Linked DNA regions of Sus scrofa. The protein of the gene in region 2 interacts with the protein of the main gene of each other region in a pairwise test. Links are inferred from orthologs where the notes say so. Each region holds a gene or a part of one and is shown on either strand. Other genes may lie near its edges.

Evidence for each region.
Region 1: the proteins of RNF185 (region 2) and YIPF2 interact in binary tests that used the Homo sapiens proteins (3 or more experiments, as listed by UniProt). The two-hybrid records come from large-scale screens. The link is inferred for Sus scrofa from reciprocal best matches to the Homo sapiens genes RNF185 and YIPF2.

Annotation. Positions count from the first base shown.
Region 1 is NC_010444.4:69,640,150-69,651,893, forward strand, and holds YIPF2 (protein YIPF2), read right to left. Parts: upstream 9,543-11,744; 5' UTR 9,331-9,542; exon of another isoform or gene 9,326-9,330; intron 9,177-9,325; 5' UTR 9,147-9,176; coding exon 9,116-9,146; intron 8,740-9,115; coding exon of another isoform or gene 8,737-8,739; coding exon 8,582-8,736; intron 8,500-8,581; coding exon 8,419-8,499; intron 6,881-8,418; coding exon 6,793-6,880; intron 5,755-6,792; coding exon 5,393-5,754; exon of another isoform or gene 5,319-5,392; coding exon 5,136-5,318; exon of another isoform or gene 5,046-5,135; coding exon 4,932-5,045; 3' UTR 4,914-4,931; intron 4,809-4,913; 3' UTR 4,418-4,808; downstream 1-4,417. Other genes in the region: histone-arginine methyltransferase CARM1, read left to right, coding at 1,223-1,308, 1,491-1,580, 2,039-2,176, 2,269-2,358, 2,449-2,561, 2,692-3,082, 3,244-3,670; TIMM29 (mitochondrial import inner membrane translocase subunit Tim29), read left to right, coding at 9,569-9,662, 9,740-10,428.
Region 2 is NC_010456.5:47,969,000-47,981,618, reverse strand, and holds the end of RNF185 (E3 ubiquitin-protein ligase RNF185), read right to left. Parts: intron 12,143-12,619; coding exon 12,030-12,142; intron 10,640-12,029; coding exon 10,585-10,639; intron 6,640-10,584; coding exon 6,522-6,639; intron 4,249-6,521; coding exon 4,151-4,248; 3' UTR 1,917-4,150; downstream 1-1,916. UniProt on the Homo sapiens protein: E3 ubiquitin-protein ligase that regulates selective mitochondrial autophagy by mediating 'Lys-63'-linked polyubiquitination of BNIP1.

The DNA.
Region 1 (11,744 bases), on a different chromosome or scaffold from region 2:
GAGGGTGTTCTGGAAGGGATCACATTTTGGGAACTGCTGCTTTAGTTTCAGTGATCTCAGTCAGCCTGGTGGTTCACAGGCCTCTTGTCCCAGCCTCCCAGCACCACTATGCTGCTGAACCTTTTCTTAGCTTTTTAATCTCATAGAAGCGGCTTTTTGCTTGGTTTCTCTAACCCCCATTCCACATGCAGCTCAAATGCCACAAAGTGAAATCAAATGGAGAACATCCACCTTGTGTTTCCACATTTCCCGTTTCTTTAGCATCTCAGTTCCTTGAGTCCTAGCTACTTGGCTAACTCTGAGCCCTCATTTTGCTTCCCCACCCAGGGAGGCTGCTGAAAGGCCCACCCCAAGGTGAAAGACACAGGCCAAAAAGCATCCCTCTAGGATCTTAGCCCCCAAATTGTGGCTGCTGTGGTTGCTCTCCAGTGTCAGACAACAGGGTTTTTTTCCTTTGTTTTTAACTCCGCTCGTTTAGTTCTTGGCAGGATTGTTAGCCTGATATAAAATCTCCATCGTAGCTGGGATGGATGTCAGCACATGGTTCTCTTGTTTTTTTCGTGAACATGCTTGACAACTTATTTGGGAGCTCTTTCCCCACCTATTCATAAAGAGCTTCCTCTTCTTCTTTTCTTTTTAAGAGCTTCTTTATTCTTTTTCACATACATAGTCTTTTATTGATGGGTCATTGTTGGTTTAATTAGATGGTTTCTATGTGTTGCTACTCTAGGCAGCCTGTAATTAACATGTGTAAGTTTATACATATGCACAGAGATCTGTAGGTTAAAAGTCCCAGAAGTGAAATTGACAGATCTTTTTTTTTTTTTTTTTTTGTCTTTTTAGGGCCTCACCCACAGCATATGGAAGTTACTAGGCTAGGGCTGCATTTGCAACGTACACAACTCACAGCAATGCCAGATCCTTAACCCACTGAGTGAGGCCAGGTATTAAACTCAATTCTTCATGGATACTAGTGGGGTTCATTACTGCTGAACCACAATGGGAACTTTATACAGATGAACAGTTGTCATTTTGAGAGGTGTCACCTAGCTGCCCTCCATGGTGTTATACCAATTCACCCTCCGTTACATCTGAGAACAGCAAACTGCTTTTGGCTGAATGGCCTAGAGGCCATGGCCAGACTCAGGAAGAGGGGCAGGGCTTTTCTCTTCATTGCTGGCCCCTTGGCCTGAAGCCAGGTCACACCTGTGATCTCTCTCAGGACACATTTGACATCCGGATCCTTATGGCCAAGTCTGTCAAGTACACGGTGAACTTCTTAGAAGCCAAAGAAGGAGATTTGCACAGGTAACCTGCAACCATGCCCCATCCTCCTGGGCCTGGCTCCTGCTGGAGGTCGGGACCCCAGCTGGCTCCCTCAGGCAGAATTCTCCCCAGGGCAGGCAAACAGGAGCCCTGACCTCCTACACTCGACACTTCTCCTCGCCCCTGTTCAGCTTCCCCAGCAATCACTGCCCTTTGCCTTCCAGGATAGAAATCCCATTCAAATTCCACATGCTGCATTCCGGGCTGGTTCACGGTCTGGCTTTCTGGTTTGACGTCGCTTTCATTGGCTCCATGTGAGTGCAGTGTGTGGCCCTAGCCCCTCAGCCCCAGGGACTTGCCTGCAGTTGTGACCCCCAGGCCTGGCTGGCTTGGGAGGGCAGGACATGACTCCTCCATGTTCCGCTGTCCCTTCCAAAACGCAGTGAGAGCTGGCCTTGGAGGGAGAGACTATTTTGTGTGTGTGTGAGCGTGTTGGAGGGAGGCTAATGTCTATACTGTCCTGAGTGATTCTTCTTCACAGTGCCTGAACTGTGTCTCTTGGCATGTATGTCAAGGCGAGTGGGTGCCCCTGGCTGTGGGGCTGTGTGTGCGGTTGTGTGCTGAGGACATCCCGGGCAGCCAGCCTCTCTTGGCTTCAGGACCCCTGGGGGAGGGGGTGGGTGCCTGGGGAGAGCACAGGGTGGGCCCAGGGGTGGGGGTGTCGGAGTGGCTCCAGCCCAGATATAAGTACATGCTTGTCCCTGCTTGGCAGAATGACCGTGTGGTTGTCCACGGCGCCGACGGAACCCCTGACCCACTGGTACCAGGTCCGGTGCCTGTTCCAGTCACCACTGTTTGCCAAGGCTGGGGACACGCTCTCAGGGACATGTCTGCTTATTGCCAACAAAAGGTGCAAGCTGCCGCCCTGGGGGCCTGGGGAGACAGGGGTCCGGTCCACCCACGTAGCCCCCTCATGGCCACCCTTTCCTGCCTTCTCTGCAGACAGAGCTATGACATCAGTATTGTGGCCCAGGTAGACCAGACAGGCTCCAAGTCCAGTAACCTCCTGGATCTGAAAAACCCCTTCTTCAGGTAGGATGGGCCCTCGTCCTGCGGTGGGGGTGCCCTCCTGGCCCGCAGCCTCTTGGCCCCACCCACGCCCACAGTCCTTCTCTGCCACAGATACACCGGGACGACACCCTCTCCCCCACCGGGCTCCCACTACACATCCCCCTCGGAGAACATGTGGAACACCGGCAGCACCTATAACCTCAGCAGCGGGATGGCTGTGGCCGGTGAGCAAGGCCCCCTGGGCGGGGTGAGCAGCGGTGCCCCCCGCCCCGGGCAAACAAGCCCACAGTCCTGGTCCCTGGAAGCCCTGCTTGGGTCACTGCCCCACCCCTGACATCTCCCTCCCTGGCACAGGAATGCCGACCGCCTACGACCTGAGCAGTGTTATCGCCGGAGGCTCCAGCGTGGGCCACAACAACCTGATTCCTCTAGGTGAGCGCCCTGGGGGCCGGGCGCCTGGGACTGCCGCACTGGGCCTTCTGCATCACCACCTTTTCTTCCTTGCTGGGGCTGAGGTCCCCTGTTCCATTCCTCTCTGCCTCGCTCTGCCAGAACCATGCCCACCTCCCTCCCCACACCCGTGTGTGAGCGCCCACCACGACGGGCGCGTGGGCCGAGGCAGGCTGGGGGCGGTGACGCCGTCTCCCTTCCTTCCTTCCTCCCTCTTGCTGCGCAGCCAACACGGGGATTGTCAATCACACCCACTCCCGGATGGGCTCCATAATGAGCACGGGGATTGTCCAAGGTAACGGGGACAGAGGGAGCAGGGTCCTGCGGGCGTGGGCATGCTGACCGCGGCGCCCGCCTTGCCCTCTCGCCTGCTCTCTTCTCTCTCTGACTCTGCCGCGGGTCCGGGTGGGCAAGGGGGTGGAGCTGGTCCCTTAGTGCCCACGTCCCACCCCACAGGCTCTTCTGGCGCCCAGGGCAGCAGCGGCGGCAGCTCCAGCGCCCACTACGCGGTCAACAGCCAGTTCACCATGGGCGGCCCCGCAATCTCCATGGCCTCGCCCATGTCCATCCCGACCAACACCATGCACTACGGGAGCTAGGCCCGCCCAGCGTGGAACAGACTGACAGCACCAGGAAACCAAATGAAGACCCTGCCCACCCCACCCCTCCACCTGGGCGGCTCTCACCCCTGTACTGGAGAAGCCGAACAACCAGTCACAGCCCTCTTTGCTACGGGAACTCGAACACTTTTTTACACAACGTTGCCGCCGCCCCCACCCCACCGCCCACCCACATCTTGGCCCTGAGCGCGTGTCGCTGCCATATTTTACACACGATCATGTCATGGGAGCCCTGTTGCCCCCTCCTATCCTCTCCACCCTGACCTGGGCTTGACATCTTCTGTAACAGGCGTGTCCGGGCCTGACAGCTGCAGGCCTGGCGGGGGAATGGAAGCAGCTGCTGCCGGGTCCCTGGGGCCTGCCCTCCTCTGTCTCCAGCAGGAAGGCTCTCCTGGCTGGGCGGGGCCTCCCCTTCAACTACCAGGCCTTGGTCACAATGGGCGTGACATGCTGCTTTTTTTAATTTTATTTTTTTACGAAAAGAACCAGTGTCAATCCACAGACCCTCTGAGAAATCAGGCCGGCCGGGCCGAGCCAGCAGCCCCTCTCCCCGACTCAGAGGCTCAGTGGCGAGGGGCAGCCCTGCGGGTCTGCAGGATGGGGCAGGGCTGGGCCTCTGGACCCCTCGGCCCCCTCCCACCAAAGGGTTCACCTCACACTTGAATGTACAACCCACCCGGCTGTCGGGAAGGCCCTCCGTCCTCAGCCCCTGCCTCTTGCTGCTGTCCTGTCCCTGAGCCCCTGCAGGTCTCCCACCCCCACCCGCACCCAGAGCTAGAACAGGTGGCCCTGTGGGCCCTGGAGGGAAGGGTCACCATCAGCCACTTGGGGCAGACACAAACCTCAAGGGTCTGTGGTGAAAGGCGTCCTTTTTCCGTGTAGCTAATGTTAGGCCTGTGTGTCCCCTTCAGTATTTGTAGATGCTCAAGTCCCCACTATAATGGCATTTTGGTCCCTCCCCAGTCTGGGAAGGGGCCTTGCAGGGACCCCTCCAAAAAAGAAAAGCAAAATAAACAAGGAAATGTATGTTTCAGCACAGGCAGTTTTCTTCTACTTCTCCCCGTTTCTAACACCCGCAAACTCAGATGTGGTGGAGCTAGGCCCAAGGCCCACAAGCTGGGCACCCCAGTGAGAGCAGGCACAGCCAAGGCTGGGGTGGCCCTTTTGCTGCCCACCCGTCCTGGCAGGTAGCCCATGGGGCGATGGCTGCCCTGGAAGCTCCCTGCTCTGTCCCTCTTCCCGCCTTTATATAAATTCTCTGAATCACCTTTGCATAGAAAATAAAAGTGTTTGCTTTGTAAGAAAAGTCTGGAAAGTAGCAGAATGATCTTGAGGTTCCAGGGGTGCCTTCAGTCACCGTCTTGGGGGCAGGGCAGGCAGAGGCATCCCCTCCTGATGGGCCTGAAAGACAGAAACTCCTACGAGTGGCCCTGACTTCTAACGGGGTGGGGGGCTCGGCGCAGTGGCGGGGGCAGGCCTCAGCTACAGCTGGAAGCAGTTCCTCACCTGTGGGCTCCAGCCTTCCTAGGTCGCCATGGACTTTGGTAGGGTGGGTGGCAGCGGTATGTTTGGGGGCTGGGCTGTGGCCTGGTGGGGAGGTTCTAGGAGCTCCGGAGGCAGCGGCTGGAAGAAGTAAAACTGACCCAAGATCCCCTGAGGTCAGCATCAGAGCCCGCAAGCCAACCCCAAAACCCAAGGCCCAACCTATGACTTCCCCGAGACTGGTACCTTACAGCCCATGGCCAGGAGGGCGTGGAGCAGCACCACGGCAGAGAGCAGCACTGCGGCTGCCAACCTGGTGTCCTCGCGGACCACCGGCCAGAGGGTGAACACCAGGCCAGCGGCTGAGAGGGCCAGGGCAAGTGCCCCAAAGAGCCACTGCAGCCACGGGATGGGGACGAGCCATAAGACCTGGAGGCGACAGACAGTTGGCTACCAGGTCTCGTCCCCAGGGCACCTGTGGCCCATCCCTGGGCCCCACTCACCACAGTGGGGATGAAGACAAACAGGGAGTAGCCGTAGACGCACACTGTCTCCAGGAAGGTGTAGGGCCCCATGCGCTCTCGGACACCTTTGCGCCACTGCAAGAAGCCCCACAGTGCCAGCGGCACCAGCCATGCGTAGCAGTAGATGGTGATGCCAGCCACGGTCACTGTGGGGCAAGGCAGGTCATCACCCCCTGGGGCACCCCTGGGCCCGCCAGGTACCAGGCCTTGCCCAATTTGCTTACCTTTGTGGAACTGCGGGCTGTAGTGGATGGAAGGGTCCCTCTTCTGGGCCAGCACCAGGGTCAGATTGCCGGTGACAGCCAAGACAAAGGCCAGTGTGGCACAGATCCAGAAGGGGCCTATGGGCAGGGCAGGGGCGGTGCCAGGACAGGTGATCTGTCCCAGCCTCTTCCCAAGCCCCGGGCCTGCCTCCACCCAGTGCTCCATCCACCTGGCATCACACTTGACAACTTGCTGGCTGAATCCAGGGCTGGCTGTCAACTCAGGCTCTCGTTTCTCTTGGCCTTTCAACAGCCTGTGATGTAGTTGACTCCCCTCCTTCTGAGAGCACTCTTCATGTGGTTCCCAGGACTTTATGCTCTTGCTTTTGTCTCATCTCACTGGCAATTTTTTACCTCTGACTCCCTGGTCTCTCCAATGATGGGGAGCCAGCCGGGGCCCAGTCCTCCACCCTCCCCTCTATGTGATCTTGTCCATCTTATGCCACCTCTGCACTGACAACCCCCAAATGTCTCAAGCCTGGGCCTCTGCCCTAAACCTGGCACTCATATTCGCCATTCGCCCCACTACACTCACATGCCAGAATCCAACCACGCCTCTCTGTACCCCAGGCTAGGCCTGGCATCCCATGCCTGGACCTTGGCCATCACCTCCATGGTCTCCTGGTGTCTGCCCTCGCCCTCCCCAGGGCAAACACCACCCACGGACACTTAACTAAGATCCCTTCTCATCAAAGCATAGGAGACCTGTGAGATCTGTCCCGTCATCTCCTGGCAGCTCACTCCAATCCAGGGACAGTGCTGCCCTGCAGTTCAGGCCTGAACTGCCACATGCCGCTTCTGCTATGCTCTCCCCCAGGTCTCCCCACCCCCAACACTGACACCAACAAGGCTCATTCCCTCACCCTGCTCAGAGGAGCCTTCCCTGAAGAACTGATGCGAAACAGCAACCCTTGTCCTCTAAGCCCCCTGCGACTCTTCCGAGCCCCACTGCCCTCTGCAGCCTAATCTTCAGGCACTGTCTCCTTGAACAGAGGGTAAGTTTCACGCTCTCCCAGGGTGGCTCTGCTTTGTTCTCAGCTGTATACCTGGACCTGGCACTCAGTCCACATTTGCCAAAGGACTAATTGAATGAACAAAACACACAACCTCACTCACCATACAGGTCTGGCCGATTCCGCAGATGGTGCCGTACAAAGTTGTGGCCAGGCCGGGGCAGCAGTGAGCCTTTAATCCGGTCCAGGACCTGGGGGGCAGAGCCGAGGTGTAGGATGGAAGCCTGCCTGGGGCTCTTCACCACCCACAAAAGAGCGGGGTTGGAGTTCCCGTCGTGGCGCAGTGGTTAACGAATCCGACTAGGAACCATGAGGTTGCGGGTTCGGTCCCTGCCCTTGCTCAGTGGGTTAACGATCCGGCGTTGCCGTGAGCTGTGGTGTAGGTCGCAGACGTGGCTCGGATCCCGCGTTGCTGTGGCTCTGGCGTAGGCCGGTGGCTACAGCTCCGATTCAACCCCTAGCCTGGGAACCTCCATATGCCGCGGGAGCGGCCCAAGAAATAGCAACAACAGCAACAACAACAACAACAGACAAAAAGACAAAAAAGACAAAAAAAAAAAAAAAAAAAAGAGCGGGGTTAAGCTCCTTAGGGGTTCCTTCCCTGCTGACCTCCCACCTCCTCTCCACACCACCAAAAAGGGCTCTTCCCTGTGGGTTTCCTTTTTTTTTTTTTAAATAAAGGTTACACCTGCAGCATATGGAAGTTCGCAGGCAAGGGGTCGAATCAGAGCTACAGCTGCTGGCCATAGCCACAGCCAGGCGGAATCGGAACCACATGCGCAAGCTGCACCGCAGCTTGAGGCAACACCAGATCCTTAACCCAATGAGTGAGGCTAGGGATCAAACCCACATCTTCATGGATAGTAGTCAGATTCTTAACCCGCTGAACCACAATGGGAACTCCTCTCTGGTTTCTAACGGGCTATTCCCATGGCCTGGAGCCCTTCCCCTGGCCAGGCCCCACTCACTATCCCAGTGTCCCACCACTCTAAAGAACACTTCTGGGCCTGCTATCTTCTTTGCATCTCCTTCCTCTCAGAATCCGTGTCCTGGACTCCCCTTTTTGCTCTCTCCTCCCTGCCCCCATAAGGATCGGCAACAAATCCCGGGCGTTCTCATTCACGTGTCTCTCCCAATATGTCCCCTATTCTACAACCTTGGTTTAATATTATCTCCCTGTCCTGGGGCCTCCGATCCGTGTTCCACGCTACTCAATTCTCTCCCCCTCTAAACTCTTCCATGACCCCCCAGCACCGTTAGGATAAAACCCAAACTCCCTAACAAAGCTCAAGAGACCCCTGTGACCTGGATTCTCTCCACCTGTCTCCCATTTCACTCTCCAGACTGAGTGATACAAGGCCTCTGCAGTAGTTTTTGTCTTCTCTCATTACTGCTCCTCTACCTATGCTGTTTCCTGGGCCTGGAACGTACTTAAGCTTCCTTCCACTCTGCCTGGCTAAATCTACCTTCTCCTTTAAGTGTCAGCAAATTCCTCATCTCTCCCAAGGGGTCCTTCCCTAACCCACCATATCACGTGTGTTCCCTGTCACACATCAAAATCCTTGCAGTCCACACAGTTACATCTACCAGCCTGGGTAGGACTCTTGTTCTCTCATATGAGTATTGCTAGCACTTGCTCAGGGCCTGGTGCGCAGGAAATGCTCAGTGACTAGTGGCTGAACCCCAAGTGTGACTCTGAGCCCCATTCCACCAACTCCCCGGGTCTGACCTGTGAAGTGTCCACGTCAAAGAATGTCTGATAGTAGCCAAAGGTCCAGAAACCAGGCTGCTGCTTCTCCTCCTGTAGGAGCTGAACAGTGTGGGCTTTCAGTGAGGGGTGAAGGGCAGCAGGGACTAGACAAAGGCAGGGCACAGAGACTTAGGGGACCCACCGCTGCCTTGTCACTCTCCTCTGCATCATCCTCAGTTCCATAGCTGCCCCCTGAGCCCATGGCCACAGCCACATGCCCCTGGGGGGTCAACTGATCACTTCTGGTGGTGGTCGCTTCTGGGGTCTGGGCCAGCAAATTAGTGGCTTCCTCGAACTCTGCTGAGAAGGAATATGGGACACAGGTGTATTTGAAGGGGTCAAGACAATTTGGTTCTGCCCACTGCTCATCTGGGGGCCAAGACTAACTGTGACCACCTCGGTGTTCCCCCCAACCCAGGGTACAGCTTCCTCAATTTTGGGGAGTGGGAAAGAGGTGTGTCCCCTTCCCCTCACTCCTAACACTGGACCGCAATTGAGGGCTGGTATGGGGTAGAGGCTCAGGTTTGAGGTCTGAGTTTAGGGCTGGAGCGAGGTTCCTGCCTGGGTCAGGTTTCACAGCTGACTGGGATTCCGGTTAGATGTGAGCTGGGACCTGGATGGGAGGTTCTGGCCAGTGGAGGGAGTAGGAGTGGGGTCAGACCGCGGCGGCACTCACCGTGGAAGGCCAGCTCGTCCGCCGCTGCCATGATCACTCAGGGGCGTCGCCGCATCCCGCTCTGAGGAGAGAGGCCAATCAGGCCCACCCCAACCCCACTCAGCGCCACTCCTTGAAGCCAACCCTCAGCCCCGAGCCCCGTTTGGCGGCTGACCGTACCGCAGGGGCGTGAACACAGCACTCCCGCCCCCCAGGTGCACCCCCGCCCACCTCACCTGAGGCCGCCTCAACTGGCGTGGCCGGTACTCTCTGCGCCTGCGCGACCCGCCTACCAGCCGGGGCAACCCCAGTCGGACCCGACAGCAACATCCGGCGTCGGTCCGTTTTCTATCGTCTTCCGATGGGAAACTACCTCCGGAAATGTTGACGCTTGCGCAGAAGATATTCACCGGATCTTTTTGTTTCGCATACCAGGCGTTTCTTTTCGGAGTAGGGACGCCCAGCCGGAAGAGGATGGCGGCCGCTGCACTGAAGAGGTTGTGGTCCCGAAGCCGTGGGGAGGCGGGGGACGCTGCGGCTGCAAAGCCTGGCGTGTGGGCGCGGTTGGGTGAGTAGAGGCGCTAGGCGGTGGGGGTGGGGGGCCGCAGCGGCCCGACCGCCCTCATCGCGCTTCTCTCCTCTCAGGAGCTTGGGCCCGCGCGCTGCTCCAGGACTACGCAGAGGCCTGCAGAGACGCGGCGGCGGCAGCGCGAGCCCGGCCCGGGCGTGCAGCCGTGTACGTGGGGCTGCTGGGCGGCGCGGCGGCCTGCTGCGCCCTGGCGCCGAGTGAGGCAGCCTTTGAGGAGGCGCTGCTGGATGCGTCGGGGACGCTCCTGCTGTTGGCGCCGGCCACACGCAACCGCGATTCTGAAGCATTTGTGCAGCGGCTGCTCTGGCTGCGGGGTCGCGGCCGCCTGCGCCACGTGAGCCTGGGCCTCTGCTCGCTTGTGTACGAGGCGCCGTTCGACGCCCAGGTCAGCCTCTACCAGGCCCGCTGCCGCTACCTGCAGCCCCGCTGGGCGGACTTCCCGGACCGGATCTTGGATGTGGGCTTCGTGGGCCGCTGGTGGGTGCTGGGGGCCCGGATGCGCGACTGCGACATCAACCACGACGAGTTCCTGCACCTGCCGGCACATCTACGCGTCGTGGAGCCCCACCAGCTGCACTCGGAAGCCAACGAGCGGCTCTTCGATGAGAAGTACAAGCCTGTAGTGCTCACCGACGATCAGGTGGATCAGGCGCTGTGGGAGGAGCAGGTCCTGCAGAAGGAGAAGAAAGACCAGCTCGCCCTGAGCCAAGCCGATCCCCTGGCGCCCTCGGAAGTCGCTAGATGAAACCCATTGCGGCCTGGGTCCTGACCGGATCCTGAGCCCAAGCAGACTGCCGATCAAGGATTGTGCCGTTGGTGAGAATCAGCCTCAGACGTAGAGCGATGGAAATAAATTGTGTGCAGTGATCTCTCCGTGGGTTTTCACAAAATTGAGGGCCTCCCTCTCACCTGTTCCTTGTGAGTTGACGCTAATTCAGAGCCTCCTTGGTCTTGGAGTTGGGAAGAGCAGAAGGACATGCCTTGTAACATTTATCACTGCCAGAGTTAGTGAGGAGCCTTAGATGGAAATAAGCCTTTGCACTGGGCTTAAAGATTCCTCCGACTGAGGTATCACAGTTGTTAGGTGACTCCCAAGCTCTCCTAAGAACTTTTAGATTTTCTTTTTTCTTTTTTTTGTTCTTTTAGGTCCGCACCTACGGCATATGGAGGTTGCCAGGCTAGGGGTCTAATCAGAGCTGTAGCCCCTGGCCTACACCATAGCCACAACAACGTGGGATCCAAGCCGCATCTGCGACCTACACCACAGCTCAGGGCAACATTGGATCCTTAACCCACTGAGAGAGGCCAGGGATGGAACCTGCAATCTCATGGTTCCTAGTCCGATTTTTTCACAATGATGGGAACTCCTAGATTTTCATTTTAAAATTTGAACTGAAATGTTTATCCTGTTTCCATGACTAAAATGTTTTTTTAAATTAATTTTTAAAAAATTTATAATTTCAGGAGTTCCCGTCGTGATGCAGTGGTTAACGAATCCGACTAGGAACCATGAGGTTGCGGGTTCGGTCCCTGCCCTTGCTCAGTGCGTTAACGATCCGGCGTTGCCGTGAGCTGTGGTGTAGGTTGCAGACGCGGCTGGGATCCCGCGTTGCTGTGGCTCTGGCGTAGGCCGGTGGCTACAGCTCCAATTAGACCCCTAGCCTGGGAACCTCCATATGCCACAGGGGCAGCCCAAGAAATAGCAAAAAGACAAAAAAAATTTTTATAGTTTCAGAGGAGACTGGAAAAATAGACATCCTGTGTATCTTCACCCAGCTTCCCCCCCCTCCCCCCCCCCCCCCGTCATAACTTATGTAATCATTACCAACCCAAGAAATTAACATTGGTATGATTATTTGGATTTTACGACAAAACTTTTTGCAAAAACAACCTCCCCTGACCCTATTTTTTTAGGGCTGCACCCACAGCAAATGGAAGTTTCAGAGTCTAGGGGTCACCTCAGCCACAGCAATGCAGGATCCAGTCAGCATCTGTGACCTATACTGCAACTTACGGCAACGCCGGATCCTTTAACCCACTGAGTGAGGCCAGGGATCGAAC
Region 2 (12,619 bases):
GTGACTATTTAAGTTAAAATGAGATAGAACCAAAAATTCAGTTCTTCAGTCCACTAGCCACATTTCATGTGTCTGATAATCATGACAGTGGTTACTGTGTGGCATGGTGCAGACAGAGAACATCTCCACAATTGCAGAAAACTACTGGACAGTGCTGTTCTAGACAATGGTAAGGGCTGCTAACATCACAAAGAGGGACAACCAGACTTTATGTGTCCCCTGATATGATGCAACAAGTAACTTATGACAGTCTTAGAAAAAAAAAAAATTAAGCCTGAATCTGGCCAAGCCTCTAGATTTAACAACCAATTTATGGGAAATACAAGAGTAAGAGTTTGTTAATAGCACAGTGATGAAAAGAGCAAAAGTTGGAGTTCCCGTCGTGGCGCAGTGGTTAGCGAATCCGACTAGGAACCATGAGGTTGCGGGTTCGGTCCCTGCCCTTGCTCAGTGGGTTAACGATCCGGCGTTGCTGTGAGCTGTGGTGTAGGTTGCAGACGCGGCTCGGATCCAGCGTTGCTCTGGCTCTGGTGTAGGCCGGTGGCTACAGCTCCGATTCGTCCCCTAGCCTGGGAACCTCCATATGCCGCGGGAGCGGCCCAAAGAAATAACAAAAAGACAAAAAAAAAAAAAAAAAAAGAGCAAAAGTGCAGCTGTGGGAAACTAAACAGGACAAATAAACTGCTTTCCTTAACAGATAAACTGCAAGGGAAAGAAAAGAGGTACAAGAGGATTCTAAGGATGTACGAGATTTAGAAAAGAGACATCCAATAGCAACGTATGGATCTGATTTGGTTCTCAACTCAAACTGTACAAAAAAATTATGTGACAACTAAGAAAATCTGAATGATAACTGGATAGATGAAGATATTAAAACTTTTTTTTTTTTTGCCTTTTCTAGGGCCGCTCCCACAGCATATGGAGGTTCCCAGGCTAGGGGTCTAATCGGAGCTGCAGCCACCGGCCTATGCCAGAGCCACAACAATACAGGATCCAAGCTGCGTCTGTGACCTACACTACAGCTCATGGCAATGCCAGATCGTTAACCCACTGAGCAAGGGCAGGGACCGAACCCGCAACCTCATGGTTCCTAGTCGGATTCTTTAACCACTGCGCCACAACGGGAACTCCAGAATTATCAATTTTTAAAGGCACATAAAAGTATTTTGGTTATATTTTTAAAAATCCTATTGAGATGGATATTTAAATGCTTAGTAACATATGACTAGAATTTGCTTCCAAAAAGTGTAGGGGAGAGGAACACTGTGAGGTGGGGTGAATTAGGACTAGACCTGGAGCTGGTCAATTAGTACACGCAGGCCTTACTGTCCTGTTCTACTTGTGTGTCTTGTTTCCTTTTCTTATTGGCCTTCTGAATTCCTGGAGTTACCTTACCTTTGCACTGGCACTATTCAGCTTGATAACTGTTAGGACAAAGTTCAAGAGGGAGAAAAAAGCTCCTTTCAGAGGGGTGACCAGGTGTGCTGGGGAGCCTGAGGCTGGACCAGGCTTGTAATCTCACCATCTTCTATCTTACACTCTGCTACTGAGGGACCTCACATAGCACGTTCCCTCCTCCGGGGAGAGGGCTTGGCTGGAGGCCCACCTGCCCCTGTGATACAACACGGGGAAAGATGCTGACATTGACTGTACTCAAGGCTCTTTTTAGCCACAAGCTAATAAGCTCCATGGTGGCAGCCTGCAAGCTCTGGAATTTCACACTTATCAGGACTGGGTCTGCCTGTCAGACAGGGCACACCTTGAGTGGGTCTGTGTAGGAAGACAGGCCTCCAGCCTATACTTCTCCTTTCTAATTAACTGTGGATGTGTGAAGACTTTCATCCAGACCAGTGTGACTAGTCCCCAATCCATTCCCCCCATTCCCCTGACCCAGACAATAAGTGCATAGCTCACAGTTATGTAAAACCACTTGTTTAATTCTACTCAAATCACTTTCACAACAGTGAAAATTAGTGACTGGTCAAGATGTGCCACTGTACATGGTGTCATTTTCTGACTGTGGTTGGGACCCGGTCCTAATCCACAAAGGTGGCAGGAGGGGTGTGGGAGCCAAGAACATAGTACACACAAAAGAAAGGAAAACTGCCTCAGCAGAGGGGTGAGGTGGTGAGCCTGCAGAGGGTGGTGGGAAGGGAGCTCTCTGTCGGGGCTGGGCCAGCAGTCCCAAATTGGCTCTTCTGCCCCAGCTCCTGGCAGGAGGTGAGTGGGGGCCTGCAAGTTTCAAAATTAAAGGGCACAAGGCCAAACTGGCTTTGCTGGCAGGTTCCTATGGTGCCTTTGCTGGTGGAGCTCTCTTGGGCTCACTCTACTCGGTTAAAGGGTCCAAGTTATTCGTCTTCCTACCTACTACTCATCTCACTGAAGTCCTCTCTCCCTGCACTGAGATACTCCAGGGCCCCTCAGACTTTGGGTATTTCTAGAAGGTGATAAAAAAGCACTCTTGAGTAGGTGCCTGGAGAATGTTTAAAATCCATCAGGCACATCGTAAAGCTGGTGGCTTATTCCTACCAAATGGATTTGGTAAATGAGCCACCTATTCAATACTTATATTTTGTCTGTTTAAACACTGAACTCTGGCATTGAAAGGTATAAGAGAAAAGGGGCGGGGGCTGTGGAGAAGGGAGAAAGGCTTCCCTCATCTTTCTCAAAAGTTTTGGTTTCTACACACTGTGCAAGCCATATCTGGAAAAAACAGATAGGGGGCACTTTTGAACACTTGCTGGCTATTGCTAGGGGTAAACCAGGAGCAGTGTGGACTGGTGATGTGTCAGGTGGCCCCCAGAGTAATCCCATCTCCTCTCAACCTCAGGGTCTCCTGGAGGAGGCTAGATTTCTAGGAAGAGGCCAGACCAGCAGAGCAAGAACCATTCTACCAAGTAAACTGTCCTTCTGCCGGCACCACACTCCCTTGATCAGATTTGGAGGAAAACACATGAGATGTTGAAAAACAAATCAAGAGCTTGGGAAGAATGATTTCCCTGAAGTTTCCAAGGGAGGACATCCACAGGAAGACTGCATCCTATCATCACGCTGAGGCTGCCTGCTCTGAGTCACACGCTCCCTAGTTTTAGCACACAAGGGGTCTCCACGCTGTACCCAAATCAGGGTCACACACTGGTCTCCCCCTTCTCTGCCTCTTCATTAAGGACAACTAGGTTTCTGAGGAGGGTGGTCTTCAACATGCAGTTGGGGTGACTCAACAAGGCCCCCAGTATCTTTGAGGGGTCCAGAGAGGATGCACCTGGAGCTTCTGTGGCCTAGGGGACAGGGCTGCTGCTTCAGTTGTTCCTGCATCTGGGCCCTGAATCCCACCTGGGTCCCAATGGCAGGTCTTTGATAATGCGCAGTCGTCCCTGCTTCGGCAGTTGTCCAGGCTGGGTGCCCCCTGGCAGATGTGCACAGCTTTGGAGGGAAAGTTGATGGGAAACCCGTGAGTGAAGCCACATGTCTCTGGGGATAACCTACGCCAGGAAACCTGGGGTCATTCAAACCACTCTGGAGCCAGAGACACTGAGCATGGCCCAGATGCAACAAAAGATCTTAGGGTCTCTGGTGAATTCACAAAGCAACTCCAGCGCCAGCTGCTTCAACTATGATCTTCATAGGCCAGCACTTTCTCATATCTCTGCTGAGGAAGAGGAGGAAGAAAGAGGACAGAAGAGCACTGGGATCTGGAAGGGGAACCTTTCTAGATGACTTCAGAGGCCACTTACCAAGGGGTATTTAAAGAGATGAAAAAAGAGTTTCTGCAAGTACTATTTGGTTCATCCATTTGTTGTTGCATTATTAAACTCAGGTGAAATTGTACTGACAGTTTCTCTCCTGCCTCTCCCCTGTGCAGAGTCAGGACCTACTGAGCTGGCTGGAACAGGATTCCACGGTGTAACCCATGAGACACAACTCAGTGCCAAGGCCTGAGGTTACAGCAGGGTGTTTACAGCAGTGGCAATACTCCAGGGTCCTCAACAACTGATCTTCAGTCTCAAAGCTCTGATGGAGAAGACTCCTTAACATGTTACTAACCCCTATTCCAGGGGTCAGGATCAGCCAGGAAGTCAAACATCAAGAGTGAGGGTGGCGTGTCACCAATCCGGAGGCCCTGCCATGGATGTAGGCTGGGAGTTCACCATTAGGCAATCAATAGCCAGAACATGATCACCAGGGCCACAAACAGGAAGAGGCGTGACAGGAACTGCTCGTCCACATACTGGGGCGTTCCAGGGACAGCTGGAGGGACAGGAGGGAGAAGAGGTTGTGAGAATGCTACAGCTGTGCACACTGCCCTCCAGAGTCAGAGGTCGAGAGTGTCAGCCTTCATCACTTTACAACAATCCTGCTCACTAAAATGATTTCCAGGAGTTCCTTTGTGGCACAGTGGGTTAAGGATCAGGGGTTGTCACTGAAGTAGGTTGGGTCTCTGCTATGGAATGGGGTCAATCCCTGGCCCGGGAAGTTCCATATACCATGGGCATGGCCAAAACAAAAAAATATTTCCAAACTCCAAATAATCTTAGACAAAACAAAACCAGAATTATGAAAACATATGGAATCATACAATAATGAGGACAAAGTCTCCCATTTATTCTAAGAGGGTTTGGCCTGCAGGTGCAAATAGAACTGGAAAGTCTTGGAAAAAGAAAAGCTACTGTTTGTTGGGCATCTTTTATGTGCTGTTTTGTATATATACATTATTGCTTGGTATTATTATCCATTTTGTATATGTAAGTCCTTACTGAAGCACAGGTATGTGGGGACCTGCCAGAGACCTGGAGGTCCATGAGTTAGTGGGGATGCCACAGAGCTGTGCTCTTAGCCTCTCAGCATGCTGCCTCCTAAGTCATGGAGTCTCTAGATTCTGGCATTGTTGGGCCAGGTGGGGTCTCAGGGAGCCCTGAGTGGGGCACCTTCCCTTTCCAGAGGCGAAAACTAGGCCCCAGACAGGCAAAACGACCTGTCTCCCTCTTGCATAACAAACTAGGGGCAGAGGTGGGCTAAGAACTTGGATTTCCACTTCTTTCTGCTTTGAGAAAAGCTAATATGAACTCCTTGTCCTGACCATGGGAAAGAGTTAAAAGAATCTATATCCCAGATGGGCAAACTGTCCAAACATGACAACAGAAAACTGTCTTTAGCTGTAGCAGGGGGTAAACTGATCCAGAGTCCAGCCTGGCTGCGGAATTCTGTTTACATGGGGAAACCAGGGTGAGCCCTAGGCTAGGTTGGATGGAAACAAGCTACCAGGCAGATTCCTGCTGCTTCCATGGGGCCCTGTCCCTCCTTTAGAGCAGAACACACCCTGCCCTGTGGGGTCTCTTCCCTCTGAGCAAACCCTATGTGAACAAAGGGAAACCTCTGAAGTAAGGAAGGGCAGTCCCATGACCTCTTGGTGTTTTACTGTTCCCCTCTTAGATCTCTGATGGAGTCAGGCAGCCAGCAGTCAACAAAGACTTATCGACTGAATGCTGTGTGTCAGGCACCATGGTGGGGACAGGGGACAAATGGGATCGCTCAGGAGAGGTTACTGTCCCCAGAGCATAAACCCCTGGCCAGGAGCCATGCACTGGTCCCTCTGTACCTCAACTGTGCTCAGCCCACATGAGGCCCCGGTGAGTGCAAGCAGAGCTCAACCAACCTCAGCATCTCTAAAGGCTCCAGGGTCAGAATCTGGGCCCGGGCCTCAGATCATGACTGAGCCCAGGGCCCCCACCTCGCCACCCTGCTCTATACCAAATGCCACTGACAGTCTCACACTGGCTGGAGGGAGAAAGGTAGCAGTGGATGGCAGACCAAGGCAGAGTTCCCAAAGAGCTGGGGCTTAGGACCAGGCCCACATGTGTCCTGAGGGAAGCTGGCTGGAGATGCCAGAGAATAGAGACCTTGACTCCCTGTGGATGCCTCTTCCTCCAAGCCCTCATGGTCAAAGTGGGGGGTTCGTGCCTAGGACTAGGCTTTTACTCAGGGCACACAGTTTACGGTTTTTTTTTTTAGGGCCGCACCCATGGCATATGGCAGTTCCCAGCCTAGGGGTCAAATCGGAGTTGTAGCCGCTGGCCTACACCACAGCCACAGCAATGCCAGATCCGAGCCGCATCTGCGACCTATAGCACAGCTCATGGCAACATGAGATCCTTAATCCACTGAGCGAGGTCACAGATTGAACCTGCATCCTCTTGGATCCTAGTCAGATTTGTTTCCACTGAGTCACAAAGGGAACTCCTATGCTTTTTCATTTTATGTCTTGGGAAAAATTACTGAGCATTTTTTGTTTATAAAATGGAGCTAAAGTCCCACAGGCTTATGGTAAGGATCCCACGCTTATAATGGAAAGCACTCTGAACATGCCTTATCCTTGGTAAGGTTGCAACATCATTACTATGTCTACTAGTAATCGGAAAAGATTTTAGCACATTTTGCAAAGGCCGATTATCCATGTAGTAACCTACATACTGCCAAATTCCAAGGATCCTTCAAGAAAAATGACGAAGAGAATAGGGTCCTACCTGGAGGAGGTCGCCCATCGTTTATGTTAAATGCTGTGGCAAATATCCCAAAGGGAAATGCCCCAATTCCAAAAGACATCTGGAAGCCACCATCTCCAAATCCAAACCCTTGAAATCCCTGAAATGAATAAATGAAGTTCAGAACAATAAACACATTTCTCCTGCATCTGTCAAATGTGTCACTTTACGTGTGGCACATGCTTCTCCTCCCTACCCTCTTTTCCTCCCATCTAGATCCCAAGGTAGAGGAACCCTGGTGGCCCTCTGCACTTCTAGCCATCAAGGGGAGGGACTGGCTCTAGCCCAATGTAAAACTCTGCTGATAAGTAAGGGATCTCAGGGCTCTGGCTTTCCCAGACTCCCACAACAGCCAGTTAAAATTTTCTATGTGCTTTAAAACAGCCAAATTGGCAATAAGTTCTATGCCCAATTACAAGGGAACTTCAGGACAAGCTACACAATGTCTGTAACAGCAAAAAAGTGGAACCCTGATTAGCCAACAATGGAGGTCATGATCAAAATCTTGGTACATCCTCTCAAAGAACATTACGCTAATTATGCAGCAACACAGAAAAACCCCTGTGACCAAGTTATCTCACAAAACTGTTCCGACGCCATGGTTGCAAGTATATGACAATATGCAGATATGTGGCAAAGTATGGATAAGTATTTTCCCTCAAATTTTTCCTTTAATATTACAGAAAATTTAAAAATTCAATATATTTTTTCTGATTGCAAAAGATATGCTTTTGAGAAATTCATATATTACAGAGGTCTCCTTGTTCACCTCCCACTTTACAACCCCTCCTGCCAATAACCACTGTCAGCAGTTTGGGATCATCCTCAGCTTTTTCCCTCTATAACATGTTCTACACTGCATCATCTTTCACATGAAAAGATTTGGTAGAAATTATAATATTGTAAATAGGTCAACTCCTATTTTTTAAGTGCCAACTGTGTTGGGCATTGTGTAAAGCACTAGGACACTCAAATCACATTTAATTCTCACATCAGCATCACCCACATTTACAGATGACCAAACTGAGGCTTGGAGAGGGGAAATAACTTGACCAAGATCACAAATCTAGGAAGGAGCAGAGTTTAGATCTAAAACTAGTCAATACAGTCTGAAAACCCACATTCTTAAAAATTGCACATCTTTAAAAAATTCCTCTCCTCCCTCACATCTCTGGGTAGATTTTTAGAACAAATTATTTTAAAAAATTAAAAAAAGAAAAATGATGGGCCAACTGCATTCCATGAAGAGGTGGCTGGCCTTCCTTTGTGAGTCTTCTCCAAGTCCTGAGAGTGGCTACTCCCAATCTCTACTGCTCCAAACTTCTTACAAGGCAGCATTACCTATAAAGCCTGACAGCCAACTCAATGAGACAGAAAACCTATAGGGAAGGAAAACAACTGTGCTCCATTTTCTTGGTGCAGAACTGCCTGACTCAGAGCAGCATGGTTGAGTCTGAGGGCTCTTGGGATCAAGGCTGCCTTACCCAGGAAGGTGCAACTGTTTCATCAGGAACCACCACCTCATTCAGTACAATCCCAAAGACTGACCCTCTGGCCTTCTTGTATATAACTCCACAAGTCTTCACATTAGGTGGGTTTCTGTTCCTGGGACTAAGCAGGCAAAAAGCATTACTGGTGGCTGTGGGTGCTTGTACTCGGCAGAGGCATGCACTGTAGTCTGCATCACCAGGGCCTCTGACTTCTTGGTTCCCTCGGATTCCTGGTTAGGAGCTAATGCTCCACTGGGAACCAGGGACTGGGAAGGTTAAGGTGGTGTCACTGGAAGCAAGGACTTCAACATAAGCCAGATCTTCAGCCCTGTTTGTGTGGCCCTGGACAAGCCACTTCACCTATCTGGGCCTCAGTTTCCTCTTTTGTTAAATGAGTTGATGTGAGATTTAAATGACATCATGCAATAAAAAGCCCTTAACATATAATTCTTTGCAGATAACAGTCATTTAGCAAGTGTTCATTGTTGGTATTATTAAGGGTAATCTGGAGAACAGACCCTCAATTTCTATCAAGACCTCTGACTCAATAATCCTACCCTGGAAATTCTAAGGAAATGCCATATTGAAGTAAGAAAACAGAAGTAGCCACCATGGCTCAGCGGAAATGAATCTGACTAGTATACAGGAGGACACAGGTTTGATCCCTGGCCTCGCTTAGTGGGTTAAGGATCCGGCGTTGCCACGGACTGTGATGTAGGTCACAGACTCGGCTCGGATCTGGCATTGCTGTGGCTGTGGTGTAGGCCAGCAGCTGTAGCTCTGATTCAACCCCTAGCCTGGGAACTTCCATATGCTGTGGGTATGGCCCTAAAAAGAAAAAAGCAAAAATAAAATTTCTTTAATATTTTAACAAAAAAAATCAAAGACTAACATCTGATTTAAAACTGTAAATTTTTTGAGCCAGCAATTCTACTTCTAAGAATGTATCCCAATAAAATAATTGTGAACCTACTAAAAATTTATCAGTAAGTTCATCAGAGTATTTTTAAATAGAAAAAAAGAAAACGAAATAGTTAACCAAAAAATTAAATTATACTAAGTGCATATATCTGCACACTACACAGCCATTAAATAAAATACTACTTGTGTCTCACTTTACTGTGCTTCATAGACACTGTGTTTTCTACAAATTGAAGGTTGTGGCAACCCTGCATCTAGCAAGCCTATTGGTGCCATTTTCCCAAGAGCATTTGCTCAATTTATCATTTTTTACTAGTTCTTGCAATATTTCAAACTTTTTCATTACTATTACATTTGTTATGGTGATCTGGGGATCAGTGATCTCTGGTGTTACTACTATGCCTTGCTGAGGCTCAAATGACAGCATTTTTTAGCAGTAAAATAATTTTATTTTAGGAGTTCCCGTCATGGCTCAGTGGTTAACAAATCTGACTAGGAACCATGGGGTTGCGGGTTCGGTCCCTGGCCTTGCTCAGTGGGTTAAGGATCCGGTGTTGCCGTGAGCTGTGGTGTAGGTCACAGACGCGGTTCAGATCCCGAGTTGCTGTGGCTCTGGCGTAGGCCGGCAGCTACAGCTCCAATTAGATCCCTAGCCCGGGAACTTCCATATGCCGTGGAAGTGGCCCCAGAAAAGGCAAAAAGACAAAAGAAAAAAAAATAATAATTATTATTTTATTTTATTTGTTTTTGCTTTTTTAGGGCTGCATTCGTCGCAGGAAGTTTCTCGAGGTTCCCAGGTTAGGGGTCAAATTGGACCTGCAGCTGCTGCCCTACACCACAGCCACAGCAATGCCAGATCCAAGCTGCATCTGCAACCTATACTATAGCTCATGGCAACACTGGATCCTCAAACCACTGAGCAAGGCCAGGGATCAAACCCACGTCCTCATGGATGCCAGTGAGATTCATTTCTGCTGTGCCACAATGGGAACTCCAGCAGTAAAATAATTTTAAATTAAGGTATATACATTGTTTTTTTAGACATAATGCTATTTATTGCACATTTCATAGACTATAGTGTAAACATAACTTTTACATGCACTGAGAAACCAAAAAATCTGTGCAACTCTTTACTGTGATATTCACTTTTTTGTGGTGGCCTGGAACCAAACCTGCAATACCTCCAAGGTCTACCTGTAAACTCTATAAGGGCAGGAACCTTTCTTATGTTGACTGATGTATCACCAGTGCCTAGAATGATGCCTAGCATACAGTAGGCAATAAGTACAGAATGAATAAACTTGTAGAAGAGGGTTATAAAACAGGAGCCAAATATTGTAAAAATTAAAACATATGTATGCAAGTATATATATACATATATTTATAAAACACACACACATAAGTAGATCTGTAACGTGTTTGTGTATATAGGTGATTATAGAAAAATAGAAAATAGACCAAAATCTTTCTAGTGATTAGATGATGTGATAAGTTATTCCCCCCCATTTCCTTTCTGTATTTTGCAAATTTTCCTTTACTTTTATAATCAAGGAAAAAAAAAAGTTCAGGGCCAAGAAGGAAACTTCTAAAGCTACAAGATCATATCTAGACGATTCTCCTAGAAATTTCCTCACCCCTCTGTTCTCCGGCTCTGGCCTCTGTCCTTGAGGACGGGGAGGAGTCTTCTCCCTGAAACAGAAATAAGTCTATTACGAAATGCTTTGAGCTGTTCCCTGAGGGGACTGGGAGCTCTTCAGCAAGTCAGGGCCACAGCTCCTTTCTGTGCCCAGCACATGAACTTAGGCCAAATTAAGCCAAATGCTAATTCTGTTATACCTGCAATTGCTTTTCCTCAGGGTGTAGAAAGCCAGGAAGAAAATCCACTTGTTATAAGATGTTCATTAGATTGTACTCAGGCTACTCCTCTCACAGACAGCCTGACCCAGACCAGTTATGACTGCCAGCCTGGGCTTGAGTGATGTAGGAGTCATGGGTGTCAAAGACCCCAAATCTAAACTGAAACAGAGGATAGCTCAGCAGATAGGGCTGAGATTCAGGGTCTCTGTTCTGCCCCATCACCTTCAGCTTTACCGCCCACTATTCTTGGGCAAGTACTTTACGTTGCTCTTGTTGCTTCTGGGCCTTTCCATGACTCATCCCACTTGTCACCCATCAGGCTCTAGGCAGGATGCTACCAATACTAAGACTGAAGACAGACCCTACCCTTGGGGTGCTTGTGACTTAAAGGGGGCTACAACCAAGCACAACACATGGTGGGAAGGGACTTCTGTAATAGAGGTGTCAACGAAATGGAACAGAGGCATGGGTGAAAGCAACTAATGTGGGAAAGAAAGGCCACTTCAAGGAGGAGGTAACTTTAGGGCTGCTCATTTAAAGATTGTAGAAGTTAGAGGAGGAGAGGGAGTTGAGCAGGACTGGGGAGGACAGAAGAAGCAGAGTGATAGTAAATACAAAGGTAAAAGGTAAAAGGGCAAGTCACTTTAAGAAAAGTCCAATACGTCTGGGTACAGGTACGCTGGAGCAAGGTGGAAGAAGGTAAGAGATGCTGTCAGAGTTTGGGTTGTGTGTATATGCACACATGTCATGAACCACACTAAGAAGGCTCTCAGTACTTGTGTTTGTAGAGTGCCAGACCACTAAACCTCCATTTCCAGAAATCTCAGAGCCTCCCAGACCCCTATCTCTCCCCTCACTGCCCCTACCCCCTCAACTTTATATATCACTGCTGCAGCAAACCCCCTCCTTGCAGACTCTCCTGCTGGACACTGCCTCCCAGGCTCCTCTACAGCACTCTGCACAATTGCAATGGTGATGTCCTGTGCACTGCCTAGAACCCTGTCTACCTGCCAGCACACACTCAGTGCAGCTCTGTATCACAGCCCAGCGTGGCAACCTGACTCCCCTCCCGGACTGGCTGACTCCCATCTGGATCCTAAGTGCCTCAAAACTGAGGATCTATAAGCACTAAGTAAAGGGTGGGGTAAGGGGATGCTGTTGAATGGAAGTGAATTTGTGTCCCATGGGAGGAGTGGGTGTGGGGGGTGCTCCATGACCTCACCTGGGGTCCTGTTGCCCAGTGCTGCCCCTGCCGTACAGCGGGATGACCTTGTCGCGGCTGATGCCAGCTTTGCAAACTGGACACACCTGTCTGTTAGGTCTGGTCTCCAACCACTGCAAGCAGGAGAGAAAACTGCATGAATGGTGCAAGCCCACCAGAGCAATCAGTCAGAACCAGCAGAACTACGCAGACCAGAGGCTTCAAACTGGAAACACCAGCACTAGCAGGGAACACCTCAAGGAACCTAACTTTCTGATTCCCGCTACTGGCACTCAATAAATATTTACTAGGTGAAATCAAAATTGCCTTTAAATGCCATCATAATGAAACAGGCTTTCTGATGCTTTGTTATCTTCAAGGGTTCCCAGCAATACAGCAGGAAAGAACTGCAGGCTGGAGCTGTGTCAAGAGGTCTGACAGATCCAGCCTCAGCTTAGGCTGAGGGTATGGAAATAACAAACTTTAAATTTCCACCTTTTCTTAACCAATTGTATGACTCTGGCAGTCAGATTTCTCTTTGTGTTTCTCATCTTTGCAGCATCTCCTCAACAACTTTGTATCTTAGACATCAACATTTGGATATAAGCTGA